Linked DNA regions of Caenorhabditis elegans. The protein of the gene in region 1 interacts with the protein of each later gene in a pairwise test. Each region holds a gene or a part of one and is shown in the gene's direction. Other genes may lie near its edges. The genes, in order: lag-1, C05C10.5 and col-81.

Region 1 (10,123 bases):
CAGCCAACCTGGGATCACGTGCACGCACAGTTTCCGTAAGTTTTTTATTGAAATTATTGAAATTATCGATAAATTTAATTGAAATATTTTTAAAATTAAGGTTTTCTGTCGCTTTCGAATCGTTAAATCGGCGAATTTTGTTTTGTTCTTCTCGCTTTTCATGAGTTTCCGTACGAAGCGTTTTCCCTTATTGATAAGGTGTTTTCTTGTTTCTCAATGAGAATAATCACTTTTTTCTTTCTGTTTCGGTATGCCTGCACTCGAATCATTGCAACAAGGCATTGAAAATCACGAGAAATCTTTTCGAAGTTCTTTCTCACAAGTAAACTTTTCCAAACAGCTTAAAAAACATTCACAGATCCCCATCTCCACACATTTTCGATACTAAATCCTCTTCTCCGCCTCAGTCAACGACACTTCTAATTCTTTGCAAAGTTTCCGTTTCGTCTCCACCACCAGCACCGGATATTTACGTTTCTTCAAATGCCAACCTCATCACTGATTCTTGGTGATTTCTGACCGATAAGGAGTACTTTTAAGTGCAAAGTGCGTATAATTTCAACTTTCCATAGAAGAACGAGCAACAGTTTTGTATATATTCACTCGAAAACTTTCCCATCCTAGTTTTTCCCACACGCATTCCCTCTCTTTTTCATTTTTTTGTTTTCTCTTCATCTCTATTTCTCGTCATGTTCATTCAGTTTCTTTCGTTCCTTTTTTTAGAAATGGGAAGGCCGTCCTTCAATCGTTCCCAGGAGAAGAAGAAGAAGTAGAAAAAGTAGTCGTGTTAGTACGGGAACAAAAAATGAGAGATAATTGAAGAAAACATAGTAATGGTTGAATACCGACCAAGAATGGTATATTCATTTCCTTTCTTTTTCCACCCAGTCTAAAATCTCTTGACAAGTTATCTTCACTGTTCCGTGTGATATTTTTTTCCGTTTCAATCCATTTTTCTACTCGGAGGCTGCCTATATCTGAATTCAGCGGAAGTACAGCTAAAATGTGTGAGATCTAGGTTAAGTATAATCCGTTGAAGATTGTGGAAAAGCTCATCCTAGATAAAGTGTAAACCCACGGATGCACACTTTTATGAAACGGTGTTTCTTTTTCTATGTTTGATGCCAAAATTAAATTAGATTTGAAAATAATAAATCATGTTTCTTCAAAAGAATGGGGATTTTTTTTTCAATATTTATCCGAAATCTGAAGAGCAATGAAAATGAAACTATCACCAACTGCAGCTGTTTAGGTCAGCACATTTGATGCTATTGAACAAGATTTCCCTCTTTCTAGATTCAAATTTTTTGCGAAGTCTCAGGTTTTCTTTTTGTATATTGTATTCCAAGCTGAGTCTCGAAAAAAAAACACGAAACGTACTGATTTCAGGAAACAAAAAGCGGACCGAAATATTTGGAAAATTACATTCCGCACTGCCAGGAATTTGCTTTTCCGGATCAGATCTGATTTTTTTTTTAATTTCTACAAGTTCTACAATATTCAAATCGCCAATAAAAATCTCCAAAAGCATGATAATTCCAAAGTTCGGAGTATCATATTGGAACCGTCAGTTTCCCATACGACAAAGGTCGTGCCCGTTCTATGTTTCCATCATTCTCTCCAGTTTCATTACTATTTCCTACGTCCATCCTGTCCGGCGTCCTCTCCGTCATCGTCCTCTGTCGCAGCCGCCACCGCCGACACTTTCCCACGCTCGTTTTTCCCACCACACACACACACACACACACACACCAGTTCCCTCCCCTTTTTCTCTCTTTTCAACGGCCAGTTCGCCATCCCTTTCTCACACATTGTCTGTGTATATGTGAGTGAAAGAGAGTGTGAGAGAATGCCCGGAGGCCGTCCCTCTTTACTTGTCAAGAATAGTATATGAGATGAAGATGCGCAGACATTTTGAGAAGTGTGTCCTCTCTCTCCTCTCTCTTTTTTCCTTCTTTTCATCGTCTGCAAACGGCCCCGCAACCGACCGACCACCGACACAGCCCACAAGGCCAACCTTTTTTTCCCACTCGTCGCTTTTTCCCACGATATTCCATCTTTCACACGTTCCTCTCTCAAGCATTTTGTTTTTCCATCCAGGCTTTCTCCGAACTTTCTAGCTCGTCTAGGAGCTAGACTAGAACTACAGTACCTCTTGATCAGTGATAAGAGACTGGGGGCACTCCTACGGACTGTCTCTCTAAAAGTTTCCCAATGACTTTGGTTCTTTATTTCACTGCGTCTCTGTGGGAATACAACAATCTTCGGTGTGGTTGGGGGGTTGTCTTTGTGGCAATGAAGAGACAACACATACGCACACAAGATGATGCGTCCCTGGGAAACCCCCCCAACTGGTGGGAAGATTGAAAAGTACTAAGAAATTGCAGTAACTTTTAAAGTTGACTAGATTCTCGTATCTCGGTGTTACAGCCTAACTTACAGGCATGCTTCTTCTAGATTCCAGATGATTATACGACATTCAAAAATTATTTTGGTACTTTTCCTTTTCTACCCCGCATTTTCAGAAGAATATTCCAATCATTGAATTATTCGAATTTAATTCTCACGTGAATGTTCATTTTAATACTATTTTCATTTTTAGGCTTAGAAAACAACATTACTAAGCCTAAAATAAAAATTAAAAGCTTTCCATTAATTCGTAAAGAATCATACCTTGATTGACAAAATATCAACAATCAACGGAGAACTTTCCTGCTCTTGCTCTCTTCCTGTTATCAACTTTGAATTGTTATCATAGTTTTCCCGTGTATATTTCTCACACAGTTCTTATTTTACCGAACCCGCCGTCCTGCCCGCCCATATTCTCGTTCGTTCTACGCCGCGCCGTCTTGTGTGGACATTTTCCCACCGACGCCACCCTCGGCGGTTCTTTTTTTCCAGTCACACACTGATTTCCATATTTGTTTAGCTGGTATACATTTTCAAAAAATGTCATGACTGAGGTGTCGCTGGCGACGGCGGCGGTCAGTACCAGTCAGTTTCTCAATGTTTTGATGTTGAGGTTCCCATGATGCTCTGGGCAATTTCGCACATGACGCGGTGACGGTCGAATTTTTTGATTAAAAAAAATATCTGAAAGATGCTTTTTCCTGATTTTTGAAGAGCTATTTATTTGGATACAAATTGGAATTTCAGTTTTTGATTTCGATATTTTCTCTGTAGAATTTGAAAACTAGTTATATATTCTATGCCAGTATTTGAATTTTCTACATCGTAATCATATTAAAGCTGGAATCGTGAAGGCAGGTCTCGTCACGATCTGGGTAATAATAATTCCTCATTAGATTGTACAAAAAATTTGAATTATTCCAATCCTTCACACCTCTAAGATCATCCTCTCGTATTTCAAACTTCGCCTATTTATCAACCATTCCAAGGAACATTACCTTTTCGTGGATACATGTTGCATTTCTCTTCTTTGATTCTCTTTTCTTTTATGTTTACTTTTTCTGCGTTTCTTCTCACACCTTCTCCAGCAGCTCCTCTTTTACCGATTACCCAACATGACCCCGTCGTCTTCTTTTTCTATTCAATATAACAATTTTATGTGTCCGTGTTTGTGTGCAGCAGCAGCAACACTTTCCTATCTCATCACCTATTCCTTGACGACCGTTGATGATTCTTCACTGGCTTCTAGTACTGTAATAATTAGAGACTCGAATCGTCGTTATTTCACTGTAAATTTTATAAATTGTTCCATACTTTGCACCTGCACCGACACACAATCCGAATCTCTCGGTGCATTAGAGGTGGTAAAAGTGTCCGATTAGATTGGAGATTAAAATAGTTATTAGGCGTGAGAGAGAGAGAGTGTCGGTTGGTTCAAAAAAGGAGTTGTGTGATTGACTTTTTGAATAAGGAGGTTTTTTCAAGCCGAGCAGTTGTTGAGCTGAATAAGAAAATTCTTTTTTTTTTATTGGAAAGACACAAAATTGTTAAAAGTTGCGCAGAAATCCAAAACTCTCTTTTTTAATGAACAATTAAAGTTAAAAAACACGAGACTTCACTCAAAGTAAGAAAGTTCGTTCCCCCTTTATCGTATTTCAATTTTCTTGTCTTCTTTCATAAATTCCCTTTTTAGATCTTTAAAAATTATACATATAAAGGTAAAGGAAGTATCCGATCAGAAAAATTCGATAATAGACCCCATTTCAATCTGGGGTGTGATTTTCCGTGTTCCAATCGGCTTTTTAGTACTTTTTGGAAATTTTCCTCCTTTCTCTAAAATAACGGTAGTACAGAATAAGGAAATTTTTTTTTAATCCAGAAGCGGCCAGCCAACTGTATAGGAATTTCAATTTTTTTTAATGTGCTGAACAATTTCGAAATCAAAAAGACCCTACTCTCCAGCTGATTACAATCATCTGATCGATGTCATATTTCTTTTCCCAAAAATAATTTGTCTTGTTTCTCTAATTACTCTTCTCTTATCATCACAATCTCTCACGTTTCTTCTGTCTCACCAATAAAAACGGGGGAATCCCCCTGCAGGTTCAAGTTGATATCATTAGAAACCTGTTTTTCACGCAGTCAATACTCTTTTTTTTCCCTCGATAAATTGATCATTTTCTCGGCTTTGGGCGTGGAAATATTTTCTGCAATAAGATGTGTTGAAAAGTCAGAAAAAAGAAAGTGTTCATCCCGCCCGTTGTCGTAGATCATTTGTTTTATGGCAATTTTCATCATCATTTTGTAACCGTCTTCTTCCTCCTCTTGCGCATCCAATCCACATATCACACAAAAATGTACAATACGAAAAATAGGTCGGTCTCTTCACATTTTCATCACCAAAAAAGTGTTTTTGCAGAGAAAAAAGTGGTGATAAATGTGGAACTTATAACTGTAAACACATTTAAACGAGGGCGGCGAAATTAGATATCAGACATATACGATACAAAAAAAATTAAAAAATCTGTGTGTATTTTGTTTGTAAAAAAATAAAATAATTGCGAGTGCATTTTTTTCAGATTTGAGGATAAATTTTAGAATTCATGGAATTGGAGCATTCGATAGGTCGAAAGGAAAGTATTTTGAGCATTCAATTCGTTATATCAGTTATCCGACTCAAAGCAATTTGTTCTACTTTAGAATTAACGCACTTTTTCGATTCTGAGAAATTTATTCAATTCGAGCTTCTTTCTGTAATCAGATTTTACCGCAATTTTTCAAATCTTTTTTGCTCTTCTTTTCCATATTAGCATTGTTCGTCTCAAAATTTTATTTTTGATTTCGAAGGCTAATTTCTTCTTTCCCAAAAATTCGTACTCATCTATGACCTTTTACAGTATCAAAGAAACATATATGCATTTAAAAATTATTGAAAAAAACTGTTTGAAAATCTCAAAATTTTGTCATTTTCAAACTTAAAACTCGAAGAACATTTGAAAAAAATACAGTATTCGCTTCAAATATAATCGTTTTCATGATCGGATTCTCTCAGAATTTCATCTTCAATCTGAAAATACTAGATTTAAGTGATTCCGTGGATCTTCTATTCTCGTTTCAAAGCTTCACACTCCTGCTTTTTTAGTTGTCCGATCTCTTGTTTCTTACCATATTCCGACATAAAAATCCCGCCGAAACCCATCAAACTTCTTCTTCTCGTATACGAATATAATATGTGTGGGTGCTCCGTTTTGTCGCACAAGTACCGTACCTCTGCTTCCTTACCGATATTCTTTTCTCCGAATCGACGACAAAATTTAATGATCGATTCGGAGGCGGAGGTCGAAGTGGTGGGAATAGAAGTGATAAAACATACGCACACCTCCCGATTTTGTCGATTCTTCGTGTATGTGTCTCCCCGGCAGTTTCATTCTTCTTCCGAGAGCATTATATTCGGAGGTGCTCCCTTTTTGACACGTCCCTCTAATTGTTTAAAAACCTCTTTGGATAATTTCCATGAAGTTTTATTAAAGTTTTAATTTTCAGACTGGGTGAACCCGCACGAAATCTGGATAAGTTTATAGGTAAGTTCGTAATCAATCCATCGAAATTTCAAACAACGTATCATTGAGTTCCAGAAGCAATGTTCCAGTCGGTATCGCCGCTGGCCGGTGTCGCTGCAGCGCCGAGCCAAATTGCCGCACTTCAACAGGTGAGATTTGATTTATTTTGGTAGTAGAAATCATCAGAAAATTCTAAAAATTCGGAAAATATCAAAATTACAGCAATAAATAAAAAATTGAAAGTAAAAATGTCATGTTGCCCAGTTAAAGGGGTATTAAAGTTTACAGTTTTGGTCAAATTAACTAAAACTCGCCCGAAACAACTGAATTTTTTCAATTTTTTCAATTTCATAACGAGACTTTTCAAAAAATTGCCGGTTTTTTTTTTGAGAATTTTCGTTATGAAATTGGTTCGTTTCAGGCCAGCTTTTGTATAGTTCGGCAAAAACTCAAAAAATCTACTCCCCCTTCGAAAAAACTTGACAATAAGTTTCCGATTTTCAAGAAAAAAACGGCGCATGGAGTAGTATTTTTAAAATTAAAACACCTAAAAATGAGAACTGAACTATTCGCTAAAAAGTCGCTGAAACCAGCGGCAAAATATTAAAAATCCCAAATCCCTACGGAAAAATTCAACAATGGGCTCTATTTTGGTCACTTCCAAAAAGTCGAATTTTTTTTTATCATTAGGCCCTTTTTTCCTTCCTTTCATATTATAAGAATATTCATTTTTAGATATGTATTTTGAGTTTTTTGCTTAAATATTCTCAGAAAAAACCGTTTCTCACAAAATTTCTCAAAATCATTTCTAATCGAATCAATCAATTTTCCCAGTCCCCCGAAGCACGAAAAATATTCACAAAAGCCTTTAGTTTTCTCCCATAACATTTCTCGTATTGTCGCTGGGACTCACTTTTCAGATATATAATGTTGAAAATAAACTTGCATCAATATTTCAAGAGAACATTTTCTAAATTTGTATTTCCCAAATAGTTCCTATTTTTGAATTCCTAGTTTTTTATTCATTAAAAAGTTACAAACTGGAAATTTTTCTAAGAATTTTTCAAATTTCAATATTTTGGGCAATTTTAAATTTTATAAACTATAATTATTAGTTATTTGAACTATATTAGAATCTAAAATAATTTAAAATAGACAAAAAAGGCGTACGGAGATGACCTGTAATTTCCCAACGTCTGCATTTATTGATTGTCACCCCATTGTGTTCGAGTTCAAAAATTCGATATTTTTATCAACTTTTGATTTATTTTATTTCAGATACAAGCGTTGATGACATTTCAAATGCAGCAGAATAATTTATTTCCCAAAATTGACACTATATCGGTTAGTTTTCACTAATAAATTCTTATATTTTAAAATGTTATAATATCAATTTCAGAAATCGCCAACTCCAGAACTCGCATCTCCATCGGCAAAACGAATGAGACTTTCTCCCAGTACGAGTAGCCACAGTGATGTCGCATCAACTTCGAAAGGAACAAATGGGCAAGATCAGTCGAAAAATTCGCCGACAAATTGTGAGTTTTGGAAATTTTCAAAATTAAAAAATATGTAAACTTTCAAAATTCATGTTCTAGACCATTTTTTCCCCCCAAAAAAAAGTCGTATCAGATACATTTTTCTGATTTTCCCTTGCAAATGTGTTCTTCCAACTGAAATTTCCCTCAAAATTTTTCCCTTTCCCTTGTTATTTGGGAAACTGAAAACCGCCGAATGGTGAGAGTGTGAGCGCGCGTGTGCTTCTGTTAGCTGCATCGACTGGTGGCTAATTCATAAGCCCACTCTCTTTTCCCGTCGAATTTTCCCACGTCGATCGATAATTTGAGCAGTGCCGACGGCTCAGCTCAGCTCTCCCTAGACTTCTTGTGTGGAGCTCTACGATTTCTTGATTTTCTAATGATTTCTCTCTCGAAGCACGAAAAATTCGAGAATCGCTTGATGGGGAACTTGTTTTCATTATGATTTGGAAATCAACGGAAAACAAAAAGGAAGAGACCGACACAGTTCTGTGAAATAAATATAGAAGTGAATAAAAATATGCATAGTTGTCCATATTCATGTGGGAACTTTTGGTGCTCATCTCTATTTGACAAGAGACCACAAGGAATCGAGTTACGCAGATGGTTCACTTCACACGAATAATGATAGAATGAAATAGATCAAAGACAGAGAGCTATCAAGGAAAAGTACTGTACCTGGTCGACAGGTGCCTGGAGGTACCATCATGCTCTTTGAATTGAGCACACAGTGGACAATGGCCGTAGTGCAATTTAAATGAGGTGTATTAGTCAATAGAGAAGATAGTAAGAAGTTCCCTTTGTAGGTTGACTCGACAGATATGATTTAATTCGGATGTCTCCAAGAATCCAGAAATTCCGATTTTCCATATATCTGAATGTGCACTCTTCCCTATCAGTCATCCCCCGAGAATTTTCCCCAACCAACCAACCCATCGATTTTCACACGAAGATTCACACTCATGAATCACTTGAGATCCTCTTGTCTTATCGTTATCCCATAACTTTCTTGACTCTTCTCGTGTGATGAGAGGCACCACCACCACGACGGAACGCAACAAAGAGATCACCTGTGTATACACATGGTACATCGGGAAGGCAACAAGTGAGGATTAAGATTTAATGTAAATGAGTGAAAGTGAATGAAAGCGACCGTTACTATATTAGGATGGTTCAATTTTGAACGTCTTTGTTTCCAGATGCCACTCAATTAGCGTTCACCTATTCAGTCATGAAATATCCGAAGAGCTCAACGCTCTCTCTCTCTGATTGGATACTCTGACTCCGCCCATCTACCAGTTTGTCTTTCTGTGTGCTTTTCCATCAGAAAAAGCTATAGACTATATGAAGAAGAGAAAGAATGTTTTCGTGGAGGCGTGGCGATTGTGAGTCGCAGAAGGAAGAAAACCGAAGTGAGGAAAGGAAAGGAGAGGAGACTATTCGTTTTCCCACCCGCTCTCCTTTTCATTGTGTGCTCTTCTTGCTGACAGACGGCTTCGTTCTTCACAAACCCACAGCCAGCCCCACCGTCGGTTTTTCCCCCACAATATTCAGCTTCTACTATTCTCGGTGGGAATCTTCGCATCGGATATCCCACGACGAGAGCGGCTTCTGCACCGCGAAGACCCCCCTTCAAGACTCGACTTTCACGCGCCACCCATCCACATCGGTCCCATCGTCGCCCTCAACGCCAAGACACTCCGGGATGGATTATCATCAGTCGTCTTCGGTAGCTTCTTCCGAGTCGACAGCGTCTACAGTAGCCGCGGCGGCGGCTGCTGCAGCTGCTGCATCACTCAATCAGCATCATCATCCACATCTATATTGTGATGATGGACTTCTATCGAGAAGTTTAACTGATATGGTATCATCTGGTGGATATGATAGCTCATCATCTTCTCTAAGTGCAGCTGCATCAATGTGTTATCCGACTCCTGATGCATATTACTATCATGCTCCACCACCACCACCTCCTCCACAAGCACAACAGGGATTCAGTTCAACAGACGCGTGGCTTCAAATGCAAATGCAACCCACGTATCATAACTTTGGCAGTACTGTCGTCTCTACCAATTCCCCACTTCCAAGCCACCTTCTCAGTTATGGAGGACAACCAGCATTTGGTGAGTGAAATTAGTAATAAACGAGGTATTAATTGGATTACGTAAATTCTGAGAATTCGTATTTTGCAACTTGTTAGCCGAAATATCTCGTATAGACAAAGCGCTACAGTAGTCACTTGAAGAATTATTGTAGTTTTCGCAACAGAGATGTAAGCTATTTAAAAATGAAGTGAAATACTGATAGAACTAGTATAACAAGTACAATAACCTAAAAACTTGTTCTGAGATAGCTCAACTCAATCTATAAAGTCAAAACATTCCTAACACCATTATCATGTGATAATTTTTCGAATTTCTCACCCTTATCAGTCTGTAATAAACTATTCACATAAATAATTTTACTAGTAGTTCGCATCTCGTTTGAGGTCTCACTGAAAGGGTTCCGCACTGTGTGCCAATACTATTTTATTATAATGGGCGCACGTCGCGGCAACACCAAAAAAGAATCAAAATTATGCACAACGGCTCTCCTGTGGCGGCTAAAAGACCGGGC
Region 2 (10,123 bases), on another chromosome or scaffold:
AAGATCTCACAACAAATTCGTTTTCCAGCATGACAACAATGTGTACGGTGTCCTGGTTGCTCTTGGTATTCCACAAATCGCTAACACACTTGACGGATGGCCAGCATACGCAGCTGGAATATTTATGGAATTCCACAGAAACACGTCAACAAACGAGAGATTCTTCAAGGTATTCCAGAGAGAAACCAGAAAATTCGAACAATTAAATTTTCAGGTTCTGTACCGTGAAGGAGATGACACTCCGATTTCTGATGTGACAAGTCAACTTCCAATTTGTAATGGAGCCACCTTGTGTCCACTTGGAGCTCTTCAGACTTTGGCCGAGACACTGAAGCCACTTCCAGATATTACTACTGTAAGCTCTTGTTTCCAAAAATTTCGACTTTATAAAAAATTTTCAGCTCTGCAAAACTCCTCTATGAATTACTGGAACTGTAATTTTTGTTGTAACTCAATTTTTATATTTTTTTATGAACTATTTCATTAAAACTCTTTTTGTTCACACAATCCTAAACCGGTATTATAGGCAAAAGACAAAAAAGTAACAAACAACGGACTAAAGAAGTATTTACACATTTCACGGAAATTTGTCAAAATTGACAAATTATCCTTGATTAAGAGGAGCCTGTCCCATTGGCTTCAGATTTTCGGAAATTTCGAATTTGCAAGCGGTGAGTTTCTTGATATCATCTACAGTAAGATCCTTCCTGACTTCGATCAATGTCAATCCGTTCTTTGTGTCCACGTCGAAAACTGCCATATCAGTAATGATTCGGGAAATTACTCCTTTGCCGGTCAGAGGAAGTTCGCAGTGCTCTAGAATTTTTGGCTCTCCGTTCTTCGATACATGCTCCATTACAACGATCACACGGGCTCCGGGAGCAGAGACAAGATCCATTGCACCGCCCATTCCTTTCACCAATTTTCCCTGGAAAATTTTAGAAATTTATTAAGATGGAAGATTAAGCGGAAAAGTATATTTTTATGAAGTTGTCTAAATTTTTTGTTTTTGGGGGTTTTTCGTTTTTTTTTTAAAGTTTTTTCGGACCAACAAAATAAATTCAGATATATATTTAAGAAATAAAATCAAGATTTTTTGGAGTTTTGTAGAATTAATATTTTTAATCAAAAAATTATTTTTATTGAGACTAGATCTGGCCAAAATTGTTCGGTTAATAATTTTCGATCAGTCTATGTGCTGCGTGCATTTTATTTAATTTGAGTTGCTTATCTTTTTTAGTTGAAACTTCGAGCGTTTTTAGACATCACTGATAAATAATTTCAGATCACTGATCATATTTATCTTATCACTCGGTCGATTAAAACACAAAGAACGAATTATCAGTGATCTATTTTTTCTCAAAGCTCACCGGAATCATCCAATTCGCTAAATCTCCAAACTGTGAGCACTGAAGTGCACCGAGCACAGTAATATCCATATGAGAACCACGAATCATTGCGAATGATTCATCAGAACCAACAATTGAAGCTCCTTTGAGAAGAGTAATTGGCTCTTTTCCAGCATTAATGAGATCGGCGTCTTCTGTTCCTTTTCTTGGATATGGTCCCTGAAAAACAAAAATGAAAATAAAAATAATTAATTTAAATTTCCTTACCACTCCAATAATACCATTCTCACTTTGCAAATGAACAGTAAATCCATTTGGTATATAATTTGGCGCCAAAGTCGGAATCCCGATACCCAAATTGGCGTACATTCCATCTGTGAACTCCAAAGCTGCACGTGCTGCAATGATTTCTCTCGATTTTCCAGCAGCCGATGTAGATGGTTTTATTGGTCCTTCGTGTGCGAACATTGGCCGTTCGATTGGTTTTTTGTAGTTCTTTCCCAAAACTAGACGATGACAATAGATTGATGGAATGTGCACATCGTTTGGAGCAATTACTCCCGGTTCGACGATTTCCTCTACTTCGACGATGGTGCATTTAGAGGCTTTGCACATTGGATTATTGAAATTTCCAGCAGCATGTCTGAAATTTTGATTTTTGTTGTTGTTGTAATTTTTCAAAAATGATTTTTTAATTTTTTTAATTCTTACCTGAATTGAATATTTCCAAGAGTATCTGCTCTCCACGCCTTGATCAATGCAAAATCTCCCCAAATAGCCTCTTCCATTACATAATTAATTCCATTGAATTGTCGTGTTTCTTTCGCTTTACTTGCAACTTCAATCTTTCCTTTTTCAGTTTTACTGTACTTAATCGGAGCACCTCCTTCTTGAATCTGGGTACCGTATCCTGTTGGTGTGTAGAATGCGGGAACACCGGCACCAGCTGCACGAATTCGTTCGGCGAGTGTTCCTTGTGGTGTGAATTCCAACTCGAGCTCTCCGCTAAGATATTGTCGAGCAAATTCTCCGTTTTCACCGACGTACGATGAGATCATTTTCTTGATTTGTCGAGTTTGAAGGAGCAAGCCAAGTCCCCAATTATCAACTCCCGCATTGTTTGATACACATGTAAGACCTTTTTGACCAGTTTTTGTGATAGCTTGGATGAGATTTTCTGGGATTCCGCATAGTCCGAAGCCTGAAATTGGTTACTTTATTTCTATTGATATTAAAGTATTTTCAAAATTGCCGAGACACATTTTTTTGTGATTTTCGCGCCAAAAATACGGTAACTGTTCTCAACACAAACATTTTCGTTGAATGCAAAAAGGTAAAGAGTACTGTAATTTCGACTTACCGTATTTTTGGCGCAAAAATCGCAAAATTTTGGTAACATAAAAAAATTCCAAATCTTACCGCCAACTAAAAGCTTTGCATTATCTGGAATATCCTTCACGGCTTCTTCGGCAGAGTTAAAGACTTTTGCTTTCATCGAGGATGTCATTGAGATTAGCCTCATTTGATGAGCATTTCTCGGAGTTTTTCTCAAGATTCCAGCTGCTGGAGCCGCCCATATTTTTGAGAGAATCGGCATTTTATCTGAATGAAAATTTTTTTAATTTTGGAAAAAGAAACAATATATTTAGGATTATAAGATGGAAAAACCAGAAAGTCAAATTTGTGGAACAAGGAATCGGTATTAAGTAGAAAAGATTATAATTGTGTGTTGATACTCGATAACAATTTCCGTGTTGCGTATTTGATTTCTTATCAATATTATTTACAATAAAGTAGCGGAAACGTACAAATAAAACGTTTTAGTGATGGGAACGTCTCATTTACTGAAAATAATAAAACCCGGTATCGACACGACAATTTTTTATTTATTACGGTACCAAGTACGCATTCTCATGATTTATTGTTCCCGTAATAACGCGAAGAGGAGTGCGCTTTTAAAATGTACGGTAATTTCAAACTATCGTTTCTGTATGATTTTCATAGATTTTTTCACAGTTTTTCAATTATCTCAAGTATTTCAAAATATTATCAAGAAAACTAAAACAAAACAATAAAAACAGTTAAAGTTTAATGCGAGAAAAAATATAAAAATTTTGCTGCAACGAAATTTTAAAACTACAGTACTCTTTAAAGGTACACATATTTTTTCAATTAACAAACTTTGCAGTGTCGAGACCGGGTTCTGTATTTTTAGTACAAAAGTTGCAAAAATAACGCGTCTGGGTAAAATTTTCAATGTTAATTCCGATGGGGCTCTAGAAAAATCATGATAAATTCACTGAACTAATAAAAATTTAGAAAACTGTTATAAAATCTTAATTTTTAGAGGTAGAATTGTCTAAAGCAAAAAAAAAACTAAAAACCATCAGTAGCCAATAGTCTGAGCGAGTGTGTCACAACTTGAGTACACAAAAACGTTTCTTTTTCGCATTTTTTGTCTACTTTTTATAGAGACGCAGACAGAAAATCAGGGAAAATGAGAAGTGAAGTTAACTGAAGGTCTGGGAAACACGTGGTTGTGAGACTGGCGAAAAGTTTTGAGAAGAAAAATTCGGGTGATATTTGGGAGGAGTTCTGCCTTGAGAAGTTTGATGTTTGAAGTGTGATCTGTGATAAGGATGGGAGGGCAACAGAGACAGGTGGCCAGGACACAAGTGTGCTACTGACGTTAGCTTCTTTTTAAATAAAATTTTCAAATGTAGTTTACTGTCATTTTAGCGAATTGTACAATTAAAAAAATATATATAAATCCGTACATAGTTACGAATAAGAGCAATTTTAATAAAACATATGTTTTTTTTAAATTTTTATTCAAGATTTAAAAGATAACTTAACAAAATCTGCGGTACATAAACCAACAAATAGGAATGACGGCTAATGCACCGGAAACGTATAAAAGTTTCGAAAATTTGGATATAATTGGGGTCTCATCTTGCGCTTCTTGTGTAATCTGGTCCTGAAGATCCTCCACGTCGATCAGCATGATTTTAACAGTTGACCGGAACGCTCGGATCATTTGAAGAAGATTCTTCACATTTTGAGAATCATCAAAGCCCAAATCACGACGTTGTTGAGGAGAATATTCATCAAGGAGCTGTCTTAAAATTGACAATTGATGAAAAGTTTGATTTCCAAGACCGACCCGCAATGAATAAGTTGTCGCTTCATTTTGTGTACTCCCATTTCGGATTTTGTGAGGACGTCGTGGAGACGAATGACGCATACTGACTTTTCTCTGGAAAAAGGCAAATTTAATTCTTTATAAAATGTATACTTTTAAAAAACGCACAGGTTGTTTTCAGGGCAAGCTAGGCTGTTGAAAACTGTACTGGCATCCCAATCCAGAACTTCCGACTCTCCAGCTTCTCCAAACGCTGTTTCTTTTGAAAGTACAACTGGACTTTCTCCCAGAAATGAGCCAACAAACTCGGATTCGAACTTCCTTGGAACCTCTTCCTTTTTGATGATTTTTGGAGTTTCTTCTTCGACTATCAAGAATTCTTTTACATGGATCTGAGGTGATCTGTAAAAGTTAATATTAGAATTATTATTAGTTATTAAAATAAAACAAACCTTAGCTCAAATCCTTGAAATTCTGAATCAGAATCGTCAAAATCTGACATTTTTCAGAAAAGAGTGTTGTAAAACAAAAGAAATTTAAAAAAACTGCGAAACTGTGTATTTTTGCGTCATCGTGTTTGAACTATTTGTGCGCGCGCGTTTAAAAAAAAACAAAAACAATTATTTTCGACCTACTTATTTTATTGATCTGCCTCTATTTTACCGATGAAAGTGTATCAGTCGAAAATTAAAATTATGCGCGGGAAAATTCTGATTTTTTCATTTAAATTTTCGCTTGTCATTCATTCCACAGACCCATTTTTTCTCCCTCTCACCTATTTCACACACTAATTATGGAGCATTTTCATGGAAATCGCTGGGACCAGTTGCGTGCTGTGAGTTCTTGAATTAAAATTCGTTTACAATATTTATATTTTCAGGTAGAAGCTGATATTCTGTGTCCCCCGCCTGCAGATCCATTCCAAATCTTCCCCAGTGGATGGACCAGAGCCTCGGAGCTCAGCGAAAAGGGATGGAGAGAATTGTTTGTCCCAAAATGTTATATAATTGTTTCTATAATAAGATTATTCAGGCTTGACCGCAGAAGATCGCAAAGCCCGCCACCACGTGAACCATCACCAGACGTCAGAAGAGCGATCAGACGGACACCGCCGCCACGTGTCAACCGTGTGGCTCCGATTCGACTTCCAGAGCGGCGTCCATTGCGGCAATTGAACGCCAATGACGCCAGAAGACCAGCACAAGACGCTGCAAATCGCATAAATCAAGAGAATATGCGTGCAGGAAATATCGACAATGGGCAGCCACGTCGTCGAGCACTCTCCCCGACACAATTGCCAGGAGTTCGTGCGATTCCAAAGGACTTCAATCGCTTCTTCCGTGGTCTTCTGACACCTGGAGAGTTCTTTGCCAAGTGAGTTTGGATTTTCTAGCTGTTTTTAGGCTCAATTTAAATATTAAAATTTTCAGATCGCAAACCCGGTATCTTGGGCCATTCGACGAAATGCCAACGGAGGATACACTTCCAGCAGCCGACGAGTACATCATTCTGCAGCGAATGGGACGACTTCCGGATAGCGGTAAATCAATCTTCAGACAGGTCGGCAATCTGTCTACATGATTCCCAGGACTGAAATTGCTGCCCCTCAACGTTTTATCCACATTTTTCCAGTTGAGATCGCATTTTTATCTTTAAAAAATTTACTAAACCTTATTGTTGCCATGAGTCATAATTGTGATATACCTATAATTCCTTAATATAATCAATCTTCTTGAATCCACCCCACTCATTGATTAGTTGTGTGCAATAATAACTTTCGTTTAATGTTTGTAGTCTATTGGTATCGCTGTTTTAGCGTTTTTATGTTGTTTTATAATGAACCAACACCGTTTCCCCATTTATACTTGCGTAGGACAAAAATAAATCAATTGTCTATCAAACTCGGTTCCTTTCTTGTTTTTTTTTTGAAGAATTAAAAAGGTATCACTCCTGTTTCGAGACTATCTAGTGCGATGTAAATTTCGCTCTCAAAAAACCTACTAAATTAAAAAAAGTTTGCCGATAAAAGTATTATTTATTTTTAATTATTGAATTTTTAACACTCTTTGCAAAGTCTTGATGTTCTGTGAAACTTCAAATATTTATTTAAGCGAATCTGAATGCCCTTCTCCAAAAAATTGCATCCTATCAGTGTTAAATTTTGAATTCCCGCAAATTTGCCTACTGCGGGGTCGTAGAAATCCTCTTCCATGTGGCGTTAGTTCGGAGCATCGTTTGCAGTTTGTCATCAAAACTTTTTCGGATTTTTCTCAATTTCGTTATATTTTTTTGTTGATTAACTTTAATTAAAAGCTATTCTTCAGATAATGGCAGATGACGGTCTCGGTGACGTGCCAATGGAAACGGAAAGTGTGAGTTTTAGAATTTGCCGAATTGAAGTGGAATTTATTTTGCAGATGCCACAGTACACAATTTCCCATGTTATTGAAGCCCACAAATCCGACACAAAGGCTTTGGCAGTTACTCAAGGCGGATGCTTGATATCGGGTGGTCGTGATGAGACGGTTAAATTTTGGGCAAAAAAAGGAAAACAGTATACGAAAACGCACGCCTTTGAACAACCGAAAGGAATAACTGTGAACTCCATTGCATACGCTGAACTAGCGGACGGATGGAGACTTTTTGTTGGCCGAAGAGATGGAACAATTGCAGTTTTTGGCCCGAGTCAGGCGGAACCATATGCAATTTTCAATGAGCATAAACAGAATGGTATTTTTGCTTTAAAAAATATTCAAAAGTGCAAAATGAATAATTTCAGTTTGCTGTCTTCACATTAACGAAAAAGCGACTCACATGCTGAGTGGTTCGTGGGATTCCAACGTCATCATCTGGCCGATTACCGAGTTGAACTCGTCGTCATTCACTGTAATATATTTTTAATCGTTTTTTACTGGATTTTAAAGTTAAATTAGTTCCAGACTATTGTTTGTCCAGGCCATACCTTGTCTGTGTGGGCTCTCGCTTCTTTCCCGGATCTTCCCAACACTTATCTATCTGCCAGTGCTGATAAAACAATTCGTATGTGGTTTGGAGATACCACTCTCTCAGTTTTCAAAGGCCATACTGATGTCGTGCGAGCTCTCGTCGTATTATCAAGCTCTCACTTTTTATCTGCTGGAAACGATGGACATATCATTCATTGGGATGTTGCATCAGCGTCGATTCTCAGAAAATTTGCAACTCAGGCACATGAATTCATTTATAGTATGACATTGAGCGATTCCCACATATTAACAACTGGTGAAGACGGAACACTTGAATTTTGGGCAATAGATGGAGGCAAAGATGGAAATTTGGCAATTGTTTCTGAAGCAGTTATTCAATTACCAACTACGAACACTTGGGATGCTAAAGTTTTATTAAATTCCGATATCGCTGTGGCTGGAAGTGATGGACGGATCTATATCATGACCACTGATAAGAATAGAAAAGCTGACGATGATATCTTAGATGCATTTGATGCAGAAGTTGTCGCAAAGCTTACTGCGAAGACGGAAAGGATGAAGCAAGAAGAGCATGAAACTGTCACTATCAAAGTTGACATAGACGATCGACCGACTCAACTAAATCTCAAATACAAAAAGGGAACAGATCCGGGTCTTTGTGCTCAAGAGTTTTTGAGTGAGAATAATTTGCCAATTCACTATCTGGAGGAGATTACTAGATTCATCAAGGTTTGCTTTTTCCATTAATATGTTTCAATGTTGATTTTCATTTATTTCAGGACCGTATTCCAGAAGCTCGGGCATTTGACTTGAAATCTGGCAAAAAAGTTATAGTCGACGGAAAAGAGTACGATTACGCATTAGGTGTTAATTTTGGAAAAGGCGAGCCGGACAAGCAAATGCCATTCAACGTGAATGAGAGCCCTCAGTTTGCTGCTCAACGCTTTGTGGAGAGACATCAACTTCCTGTGAGCGTTATCCCTTCTCTTGCTGGAATGATCAGTCAGGAGATGGACAAGTTGTCGAAAGGAGCTGCTTCTGCTCAGTCTGGATATGAGGATCCGTTTACTGGACCAGGAAGATATGTACCTCAAGGTTCATTGAAATAAAGAAATCAATAACTCCACAATTTCAATATTTGAATTCCAGGTTCGTCGAATTCTGGCGGTCACGGTGCAGATCCTTTCACCGGATCCGGAAGATACGTACCTCAAGCATCAAACTCGAGTGGCTTTGACACTGGTTTTTCTGGTGATCCTCTTACCGGAGACGGTGGATATCGTGCGTCCGCACCTGAAAATACTGGAAGTCATGCCGTTCCTCTATCATCTCTTCCACAAAACAAGAAGAAACCACGTGGACCATTGGTTCCAGTTCCTGATTTTTACATTGTACGTTTTCTAATTCTTCTCCTCAAAATTCAACATACTTAATTCAATGTATTCAGATTGGGCTTGCTGGAAAAGGCGAGAAAGCAATTGCAAAACTGAAAGAGCTAAATGAAAAGCAGGATGCATTCCAATTGAATCCTGATCAGATTAATGGCCTTGAGGAACTTTTTGTTCTCCCAACCTCTTCGAATTATTCATCAGAAGTCACGCAGTCTGCATTCGAAATGTCTCTACAATGGCCAGTGGAGCACTTGACGCCAGTTCTTGATTTTCTGAGAATCGCACTAACTCATCATTCACTGAATTCGTATTTCTGTGATCGTGAACGTGGTCAGGAACTTGTCGGAAGATTAATTGCTATTCTTGTGTCAGATCCGGCTGATGTGGCTTTGAAGGTTCTGGTTTGTAGGTAAGAACAAATATATATTTTCGTCAAGATATAATCGTTGTAATTTATTTACAGATGCATCGCAAATGCATTTTCGCATCCAGTCGGTCGCAACCTGTTTGCTTCCACCGAGCTCTCTACTCTAGCCCCACTGGTTGTTCGTCAAGTTCTTAATGAAAAGACGGTTCTCCAAATGTCTGCTGCTACAGCTCTTGCCAACTGGTCTCTTGCTTTATTGCAACAATCCGAGCAATGCGAACAGCTGGGACCCAAGGAAGACTTATTGAGAGCCATTTTGAACGTAATTCTTCAGATTCGAGAATTTAACAATATCTTCTATTTTTAAGGGAATCGAAAGCGTCGACTCATTCGGATATTTGGGTGAAGACGCCATCATTCGTCTGCTTCAAGCATTAGTTACAGTCATGTGGGGAGATGCCTCAGTTATTCGAGTGAGTTTTCTAGAAATAACAAACATTGTAAACGCAATATTTTCCAGCTTGCCAAAAATCGTAACATTGCCCAAATTGCCGCTCGTCTCAAGGATGCAGTTTCGAACGACTCGGGAAAAAATATTGCTCGTGATATTGTGGAAATGACTTATGCTGTATGAAAAGTGTTCTAAAAGACCGGTTCAATTTTATTTGTATATAAATTGTCCAGTGCTTGTATTTTTTTTCCGGTAAAACCATTTATTTTTCACAGCCCGATTGTACTAGAATTTCAGCCCGATCTAATTTATTTGTTCTTTCTCTATTCATGTTATGTAAAAGACTACATGCTAGCCTGAAAGTTTCCTTATCAATCAATATGAACATGTTCTTGATGTCTTTCTTTTTACCGGTTCAATGGATATTTTACCACAACAATTATCGCAGCTCAGTTGA
Region 3 (10,030 bases), on another chromosome or scaffold:
TAAATGCATTGAAACATTTCAGATCAAAACTTGAAGGCGTTGAAATTGAGCTACATCGTTTAAAATTTGAGTGGTAGCTCATAATTAGACTAAATAAAGGCTAGAAAGTCTCGAGTTTCCAAGTATTGGCAGATCTTCAGAAGTTGTTCACCACCACCACCCCGCTACCATCACCGGCGACGTCTCCGAAAACTATTTTATGATTATGACAGCCTGTTTACATTACACGAAGTCTATTCACCTAATTGTCGAATTCGTTCAAAGTGTGTATATGTATGTGTGTGTGTGTGCTTCGACGTTCGATTCCGAATTCATTTGCTGATGAGATTGCTTATCCTTTTATCCTGCAAATGAATTAGAAAATGGCTGGCTGCAAGGAGGAGAAACGGTGGGATGGATTTGAGGAAGTAATCGGGAACATTGAAATTAACCTGAGAATTAAAATTAGAGTTATCAGATACCTAATTGTAGTTGTTACATGTTTTCAACAAAACAAAACCCAACATAACCTAGTTGTGATCCGTAGTTTATCGATGCACCATGTCTGATAATTCTGAACTTCAATCGAAAATTGTTGCGGATATTCCTGTTGCGAACAGGTGGATGCGGAAGTGTGATTGTCTGATAAGATTAATTAGGATATCGGATTCTCTCCTTTTTTGGAGTGATAATGTGAAGTGTTTTAACGTTTTTTCAGGTGCCAAAATATTAAGCGATGTGTGGAAGATTCTGAGCGAATGTAGATTTCAGCAGGACACAAATCAAACATTTGGAAAATTTTTTATCATGTAGATTAAGCCTAGATGAGCAATAAAGTTCTGAAAAATTTAAAGTGTCTCGGATGACGGTCGGCATAGAGGCAATAACTAAATACTGCTACAGCAGAGCTCAATGGGCGTTTTCTGATAATTCTGGAGAACTCAAAAAATTTATGATATGTCATAGTTTACAGGAAAAATGCCGCAATTTTTGGAAATCACAACATACTTGGCTCATTGAAAAACCTAGAGCCAACCTAACTTTATATGTATACATATGTCAACCAATTTAAATCATCAAAGTTCGAATGGAACTCGTGAATTTTGTTTCTTTCTCCAACTTCCTCCTACAATTCCCATTATTCACTTTCCCTCTCAATAGCTCGTCTCATCAGTTTTCGAACAGATTTCACGTAAACGACCTTGATTACTCGGAATGCTTAGTAGATCTATATCTATCTAACTCATTTTCAGCCCCAATACATCTCTACCCATTCAACCTGTCCCTCCTCTACCCCTCCAACAAAATGTGGGCGTGGTTTCCCTCCGCGCCTGTCGCGTTTTTTTTGCGTATCTGCGTTTGTTTTGGCAGCCTTTCGAAGGCAAGTGTATAAAAGTGCGTCGCCGGTGGCAGGTAAATCAGCAGCATTCGCATCATGTCTTCTGCCGATAACGAGAAGAAGCTTTGGGTTGAGGCCGAGTCCCTCCGCAAGGTCGCCTTCTTTGGCATTTGCATCAGGTAATAACACTACTATTTTTATTTTCCTATTATTTTAATTTTAGAATTCTGATTACTAGTTTTTAACTTTCTGTTCTTTTCACTTTTTCGAATGTTTCCTACTTCTTCCAGTTTGAAAGTTTAAGATTAGTTTTTTTTATTAACCTAGATATCTGTCTAGACTAAAAGTTGATCACAATTAAGTACCTATTCTTTACTATTTCAATTTTCAGTACCGTTGCCACTTTGACCGCAATTGTCGCCATTCCATTGTTGTACAACTACATGCAACATGTTCAATCCACCCTTCAAACCGAAGTCGACTTCTGCAAGCACCGCACCAATGGTCTTTTCGACCAATACGAGCGTATGCAACAGTTGAAGGGAGTTCGTGGAAAGCTTATCGTCAAGCGTCAAGCTGGATACGACGCACCTGCCGATGCCGCTGTTCAAGCCACCACTCAATCATCTGGAGGAAGCTGCTGCTCTTGCAAGGCCGGAGCATCTGGACCACCAGGACCACCAGGAACTGACGGATCCGACGGAAAGGATGGACTTTCTGGACCAGACGGACAACCAGGAGCTGATGCTGATCCAGAAGCCACCCCATCCGAGGCCGATTTCTGCTTCGACTGCCCAGCCGGACCACCAGGACCAGCCGGAAACCCAGGACCAAAGGGACCATCAGGAAACGCTGGAGCCGACGGACAACCAGGAGCCCCAGGAAACGCCGGAGCCGCTGGAGCCCCAGGAGCCCCAGGACCAGCTGGACCAGACGGACAGCCAGGATCTACCGGACAAGACGGAGCCCCAGGAGTCGTCGAGGAGGTCGCTGTTCCAGCCGGACCAGCCGGAGCCCCAGGACCAGCCGGAGCCCCAGGAGCCGATGGAGCCGCCGGAGCCCCAGGACAGCCAGGACAAGACGGACCACAAGGACCAGCTGGAGATGCTGGAAGCGATGGAGCCGCCGGACAACCAGGAGCCGCTGGAGAGCAAGGACCAGCTGGAGAGCCAGGAGCAGGAGGAGGCTGCGATCACTGCCCACCACCAAGAACCGCTCCAGGATATTAGAATGTTGTTATCTTCTGACTTCATTTATGTATATTTTCTGTGTTCTTTCTTGTTTTCGTTTTCTCAATCACCATGATTCTCAGAATAAATTACTATATCATTCAAAAATATGCTCTTTTTCATTCTTTTTCTCATTGGATTTCCAAAAAAAAAGGCAAAAAAAGAAGAAAAATACAAGAAATTCATCAAATAGGATAACAAAACCGCCTAATTTGTTTCACATGACGATTCGTCTCGTCATAAAAAACACGTATCCCCTCAACACTTGATAACACAATCAAAGATATCAAATATGCCTATTTAGGTACACTTTTCGGTGGGAGAATGTTTGAAAGTAAACGAGACATCATTCTCTCGCAAAAGTCATCATGAGACCGGTTTTATGGAAGAGGTGATTTCGGATGAATCCGAAAAGTGAACGGTGTTCTGTTCCGAGAGGTGTTGTTTTTGCAGGATTTCTACTAGGGAGGGGCATATTTGGATTCAAAATTGAATAAAACAGTTTTCAACATAAAGTAGTTTTCCCATTAGTCTTGAACTTCCATTGATCTATTTTGACAGATCATATTTCGGTTGGATTTGGCTTTATTAAAAATTGAGCAACTATGAAAATGTAGAGGAATAGTTGACACATATTTTTAATGGTAAAAAATGGTTAGATAAAATTAAAGTCAACTGAGAACTGTTGAAGCAAAAAAATAGCAAAAAAAGGCACGATGTTAATCAAGGGTGTCGTTTTTCGATTTTTTCGATTTTCCGATTTTTTTTTCAACGAACATCTGAAATCGAACAATCGAACAAATTAAGATCGAAAAAAAATTTTCAGAAAAGTGACCATAAAATTCGATTTTTCATCGAATTTTGTTTAAATTGTTGAGAAAAATATAAGGAAAAATAAAAATATATTTAAAAAAAGCAATGACCAAACTTTAAGCTAATTTTTAAAAAATCGAAAATTTTTGTAAAATCGAAAAATCAAAAAAAAAACGAAACTTACAATAAAATTTTTTTTTAAAGAGCATCAGTTTTGGGTTATTTCTTTGTACTTACTTGAAATTTTGAAAAAAGAACACATATTCTCCTATTTTTCAATGGTTGCCAAAATTGTTCAATTTTAACCTAGCAATTGCCAAAATTTTGTTAGCATTTGTTAGGCATATGACAAACATTAAAAATAAACGAATAACTAACTTAATAATTTATTATTAATTTTGAAAAAAAATGAGCATTAAGTTGGCGGCAATTGGCGAGCAATTAGGACTAATTTAGAGAATAAGAAAAAAGTATTGCTCAAGTTTTTCAAAAGTTTTTTGACAATTCAATTTTGACATTTCGACATTTTGACATTTTGACATTTTGAAATTTTGAAAATTTCTTGTTTCAAGAATTTTACATGATGGACAACGTCATTACCCGAGCAACCAGGAAAACCATCAGGGGTTGGGTACTGTAGTTTTTCAAAGAAGTTATGAATTAAAATTTAGACGTCCAGTTGAACTGGGAACTTTGATTCTCTAGTAAGAATGATATCAAAGTGTCAAATGGTTCCCGAAAAGTGAAAACTACTGACCTTACAGTCTACTCTTCTCCATCCTAAAAAAACTGCTAGCTATTTTCTGTCTTATCACTGATTCGATCAACAAACTTTAGGCTTCTTCCGCTTTCTTCTCCCCACTTCTCCACCTTTGTTTTGCTTTTTTCCTGCAATATTTTCATTTTCCACTCCTCAAGTTCAACACTCCATCATCGCGCACCTTCTGCCATCAATTCTCCACGAACAAAACTGTAACTTACACAAAATTCGGGTAGAAAGAGAGACACTGATAACCCCACGAGACGCAGGTCATCGCAATTTTGTAAACTTTCTCTGGAAATGTGGTATATAAGGACAGTTGTGTGTTGATGAGAAAGCATACAGCGGCATTCGAAACATGGAAGACAAAAGAATACTCGTTGAGAAGGAGGTCGAGAGCTTCCGATCCATCGCTTTCGTTGGTATCTCCGTTACGTAAGTTTTCTTTTTTTAATTTTTAATTTCCTATTTCTTTTCAATTTTGAATATTTCTAGATCTCATTTGATATGTATGAACTTCACCTTAAGCTTAGCCAAAGCAAAAAAATCCCATTTAAAATTTTTCCGACCACCGTTGAAACTCTCTAGTTAATTTCTGATTGTGAGTAACTAGCTTCACATAGCAACTCAGTGGGCTATTGATGCACCATGTCTTGTTTCTCTCGTTCATGGTACATCGACCAAAATCGCCCTACAATTAATATACAAATATCCCTCTCAATTCCAGCATCGCCGCCGCTCTCATCGCTGTCATCGCCATCCCAGCCTTCTACAGCTACGTCCAACATGTTCAGTCCAAGCTTGACTCCGAGGTAAAGCTGAAAAATCGATACTTCTGAAATAAAGAAACATGTTTTTGTTTTAAGGTTGACTTCTGCAAGCACCGATCTCTGAGCCTTCACAATCAATATGAAGTCGTCGAAGAGTTCACCGGAGTTCCATCGAAATTCGTTGTCAAGCGTGAGGCTCACCGTGGAATGAGCAAGAGACGTGTCGCCCGTAGAAAGGCTATCAGAAGACGTCAAGCCGAGTGCTGCTCATGCGGAGTTGGAGCCGCTGGACCACAAGGACCACCAGGACGTCCAGGAAATGACGGAAACGATGGACAATCTGGAAACCCAGGATCCCCAGGACAAGATGGATCCGACAGCTACGAGCACCAACAAAACAGAGAATTCTGCTTCGAATGCGCCGACGCTCCAGCTGGACCACCAGGAGCTCCAGGACAGGCCGGAGCCCCAGGAAACGATGGACGACCAGGACAAAGCGGAGGAGCTGCTATTCCAGGACCACCAGGACCACCAGGACCATCAGGACAACCAGGACAAGATGGACATCCAGGACAAGACGGACAGCCAGGACAGCCAGGAGAGAGCCGCGAAGTTCCAGGAGCCCCAGGACCAGCTGGACAACCAGGATCCCAAGGAGAGCCAGGACCATCCGGACCAGACGGAAGACCAGGACAACCAGGACAAGCCGGACAGCCAGGAGGTCCAGGAGACGCCGGAAATGACGGACAACCAGGACAACCAGGAGGTCCAGGAGAGGACGGAGAAGATGGAGATTCTGGATCATCCGGATCTTGCGATCACTGCCCACCACCAAGAACTGCTCCAGGATATTAAAATATCCGTTTTCTGTCTTTCATTTTTTTTTCGATATGGAGTATCTCATGACTGATGATGTAGTAGCCAAACACGAATGAATAAACCGTTCAACTAGAATTTTTTACAATTTTTTTTCACTGGACCTTTCCATTTTCAATTTCCGAGAGCCGCGAAGAGACATACTTCTTTGTAATGAAAATTGACCGGGTTCTGATTTCTTTCTTTTGTCGTCTTGTGAGCATTAAAAACCGTCAAAGTTAAATTATAGAAATTAGTTCATTAAAGCAATCTGCCAAAGTCGGTGTAAGAGAACAAAGATCACATACCAACGAATACAATATTATTAGAAAAAGATGGCTGAACAGCAATGATGATGATGTAGAAAAAAGAGACTTCGAATATTTACAAACAATCCGGGGGGGTGTTTGAGAGACATGAGCAATGGATTGGGTGGAGAACTATGGATAAGAGAAGAGTGTTAATGGATGGGGTACAGTAACCCGTAACATTTTGGAAAGAAAGAGAATGAAAATTTCCGAGGCAAAAGGACACAGAACAATTACAAAATTGAACCCGTTCGTGTAGTGGGAGAAGTGCGTTTTTGTCAGTAAATTATATGTAATTTTTGGAATACAAAAAAATAGAAAATTGTGTTAAAAAATGTGTGAAAGATCGAACAATTCTACCGGGAGTTTTCAACTAGAAGCAAACTGGGGGTGAAAGGGATATCTACGAGAAATTGTCATAGGCGGCTAGGTACTCATATGCAGCTAGATACAGGAAGTGATACTGCTCTGGCTCTTGAATCATGTTTTGACGTTCTGTTCGGAGCAGTTTAACCTGAAATATTAATATTCATATACATTTAAAAAAAATTAGAAATCGATTCTTACCGTTGTGAAAACATCAACAACATGCTCAGCACGCATCCTATCCAAAATGATCGAAAGTGCGATGAAGACTGCAGTGCGTCCGGCTCCAGAGCAACAGTGTACTGTAATCGGGCCAGTACATCCGAATTGAGCATACGTATTGTGAACTTGGGTGACAAAGTCGAGGAAGTGATCTGCTGTGTGCGGCTTTCCGACATCAGGCCACTCCATGAAATGGAATTGACGAACGGTTCGGACTTCGCGAGTCTGAAAATATTAAACTTAGACGTCATTTAAACAAGTACAATAATGGGCACATTTCGAATCGTCCATAGGTGAAAACTCACATTAATATCCGAAATCCTAAACTCTCGAAGATGATAATGTTTCATATCATATTCAGCCATCGGCTCAACGACGAGCATTCCAACTTGAACTCCAGTTTCCAATGGCCAATAGTCACTACATTGCTCTTGTCCTCGTTCGTTTGTCCGTACCAGCATGGCGATTATCGGGCTGTTATGCTCCCAAATTGCTCGCCAAAAATCTGCGGCTGTCTCGTTAGTTGGTGCTTGAGTGGCAATGTAGGCTCCGCGCTCTCTGAAAAAAACCGAATACATAATCATTATGGGGAGATGGGAAGATGTGCTTACTTGTAACCGTCAATCCATGATGCGTTGATGTAATCGGATCCGTCAGCTCCAGGAAGCAATCTCATTATTACTCGATTCGAATCATACGGTACTGCGCTGAGCATCCGGTTCTTTGGTCGATTTACCGGAAGATTCGCAACAGTACACCGATTGCTGGTCCATTTCAGTGTCGTCAAATGCCTGAATTCCATATCAATTCCAGACAATTGATCAGCTGATGGTTGTGAAAGAATGTGCAAATGTTGATGCAACCGACTGGCAGGAACCTCTGTGGATCCACTGTTCACCGCATCAAGGACAGCGTCATGAATAAAGATGTATTGCTCTTCAGTTTGTACCATATAACTCCTCTGTGCTCTCAACGCAGTAACACATCCATAGATATCAACTGTATTGTCGTAGCGGAGACGTTCCAGCATACAATCAATCACAATGAAGGCTCCAGTTCTTCCAATTCCAGCACTACAATGCGATATGATTGGTCCTGCATCGTTTGGATTCAGCGTTTTCACCCTCTTCAGGAAGATCAAAAACGGTGTCGGATGATCGGGAACTCCATGATCCGGCCATGCAGTATACTGTAGATGCTTGATCTCTCGAACTTCAGGTTCTCCAACCATTTTCAATCGCATCGTTCTCATCGTATAATGAGCCAAATGAACGCTTTCCAACAGTGTCACCTCGATATCTCCATATGTGGCAGTTCCCCGACTCGGCCAGTATTGATCACATTTCACTCGACTTCGTTCCTCCAGATTTGTTAACATCACAATTGTAACCGATTGCTCCTCCCAAACCATTCTCCAGAAATCCGAAAATGTTTCCGGGAGTGGTCCCTGGGTGGCAATGTAGCTTCTTGGTTTGTCATATCCATCCACATAATTTGCGTTGATGTAATCCATTCCTGGATATCCTTCAACATTGGAAAGTACAACTCTGGAATGATCATAGGCAGCCACATTCGCGTATCGATTCTTATGCTTATTCATATCAGCAGACGAGTGTTCCCAAGTGAAGTGTTGTCCAGTTTCAATAGATTCAAATTCTGACTGGAATCCTGCATTATTGTTCATTCGAAGCCTCTCGATATGATTCGCAAGTTCAGCTATCGGAACAGCTGGATGGGATACTGTAGTCATATTGTTTCCATTATTTGGAAGAGATGGTATTGCGACAGGAACAGGTGCATATCCATTAGATCTAGAGTGACTTGTTGGCAAAGGATAAAGATCCATCGATGATTCCATATGATGATTTCCATTCATCTGCTCATAGGGGTTCATAATCTGTCGTCCGTATTCATTGGAAGTCGATAATAACTTGCTTGTTTCTCCAGGTATTCCACCACCTCCATTCATAATATTTCCAGTCAACGCAACCTTTGTGATAGAACCATGTCGTGGATGCCGTCCAGCAGACTTCTTATTGCAACGCAACCACCAACATATCAGCATTCCAACAATCGAGAACAAGACCAAGAAGGCGATGCACGCTCCAACCCAAGGAGACGACTTCTGCGAAGCTCCGCGAAGAGCCGATTTGATTGTGAATGGCTCAGTTAGAACAGAATCAGAGTACATACGGGACAGCTTCTCGCTCATTGGTGCACGTTGTTCGAACTGAAAATTTCGAATTAAAAAAGTTGGATTCAAATTTAAAAATGATGTCGATCTATCTTGAAAAAAAAAACGGGAAAAGTAAACTTACACTGTCCTTGGTTCGCACATCATTTTTCGCAAACGCCCGCATCATCAGTCGGTAGTGAAGGTTGTGCTCGAGTGGGTAGTTGGTGAACCCGTCATACAACTGCAATGTAGAGATATTGATGTATGTATTTCAATGTTTGCACAAAAACAATAGCCCTACTTTATCGTGGGAAATGTTTATACGTTTTATATCTAGATTCTATGTAGTTTTTTTAAAGTTAGATCGTATTGCTACACAATGTGGGTGAATTTTGAATTTCGAAAATTGGTCTGTATGCGAAAAAAAGCTCAACTAGCTTCAGAAAATTTCAATTTTCTACTTAACCGACCAAGGAATGAATGGAAAATCTAAAGAACTGCTTATATATAGAAATGAAAAAGTTGTTGAAGTGGCGGTTGGGTATGAGGAGAGGGGGAAAGGTCCGTAAGTGCCTCGATATTATGGCAAAAATCTCAAGAAATCTCAAAGGACCACACGAAACAGGGTATATACTGCCTGCTGGCTGGGGCTATAAAAGACAACGACAAGAGCTTCTCGCCGCGCGACAAGAGCCCGGCGCTAAGCAAGCGTTTTCGATTATTTATTCATGGAGACATAGAAAACTTGGGGAGGGGGAGAAGAGTGAACACAAAAAACAATGAATTTATTTTTTTTGGTTCAAAAAGCTTGCAGATGTTATATGCTATAACAACTGTGTACATTGGAAATTCAAATGTAAAACGTTGACTAGAACTACCGTATATCCTCTAATAGTATTGCACCCAACTACATTACTTTGAAACGTTATATCTCGGTTCATTTGGAAGACATAAAAATATTATCAACTGCAAATATATAGGAAAAGAACCAAGAAATATTTTGTCTGTTGGCATGTTTCGTATAAAACTAACGACAACTGAGTAAATGGGCTGCCAAAGTTGAACAATGGGGTGCAATACTAATAGAGAATACTTTTTTTTCAAAGTCTACTTTAATCAAAAATCTGGAAACAGCAAAAATGTCTCTCAACTATTTCTTTATATTTTCATTGTTGGAAACGTTTCTGATAAACCCAATATCAGCCAACATATA

Evidence for each region.
Region 2: the proteins of lag-1 (region 1) and C05C10.5 interact in a two-hybrid assay, tested with the Caenorhabditis elegans proteins (3 studies listed by BioGRID).
Region 3: the proteins of lag-1 (region 1) and col-81 interact in a two-hybrid assay, tested with the Caenorhabditis elegans proteins (3 studies listed by BioGRID).

Annotation. Positions count from the first base shown.
Region 1 is NC_003282.8:6,095,470-6,105,592, forward strand, and holds the start of lag-1 (Suppressor of hairless protein homolog), read left to right. Parts: upstream 1-6,118; intron 6,119-7,247; coding exon of another isoform or gene 7,248-7,313; intron 7,314-7,368; coding exon of another isoform or gene 7,369-7,507; 5' UTR 7,508-8,867; coding exon 8,868-9,630; intron 9,631-10,123. UniProt on the Caenorhabditis elegans protein: Transcriptional regulator that plays a central role in lin-12/Notch and glp-1/Notch signaling pathways, involved in cell-cell communication that regulate a broad spectrum of cell-fate determinations.
Region 2 is NC_003280.10:9,933,943-9,944,065, forward strand, and holds C05C10.5 (uncharacterized protein), read left to right. Parts: upstream 1-5,097; 5' UTR 5,098-5,284; coding exon 5,285-5,326; coding exon of another isoform or gene 5,327-5,330; intron 5,331-5,371; coding exon 5,372-5,475; intron 5,476-5,523; coding exon 5,524-5,865; intron 5,866-5,921; coding exon 5,922-6,072; 3' UTR 6,073-6,490; downstream 6,491-10,123. Other genes in the region: pho-11 (Putative acid phosphatase 11), read left to right, coding at 29-169, 215-355, 402-422; C05C10.3 (putative succinyl-CoA:3-ketoacid coenzyme A transferase, mitochondrial), read right to left, coding at 605-928, 1,371-1,568, 1,617-1,992, 2,061-2,550, 2,769-2,946; C05C10.7 (uncharacterized protein), read right to left, coding at 4,201-4,468, 4,513-4,605, 4,660-4,893, 4,944-4,993; ufd-3 (Ubiquitin fusion degradation protein 3 homolog), read left to right, coding at 6,819-6,863, 6,909-7,221, 7,271-7,377, 7,425-8,186, 8,237-8,552, 8,607-8,848, 8,905-9,257, 9,312-9,537 and 2 more.
Region 3 is NC_003280.10:11,008,209-11,018,238, reverse strand, and holds col-81 (Nematode cuticle collagen N-terminal domain-containing protein), read left to right. Parts: upstream 1-4,418; 5' UTR 4,419-4,478; coding exon 4,479-4,555; intron 4,556-4,847; coding exon 4,848-4,932; intron 4,933-4,986; coding exon 4,987-5,745; 3' UTR 5,746-5,842; downstream 5,843-10,030. Other genes in the region: ram-2 (Nematode cuticle collagen N-terminal domain-containing protein), read left to right, coding at 1,415-1,497, 1,710-2,547; ptp-3 (protein-tyrosine-phosphatase), read right to left, coding at 6,457-6,567, 6,621-6,866, 6,947-7,199, 7,253-8,871, 8,960-9,058.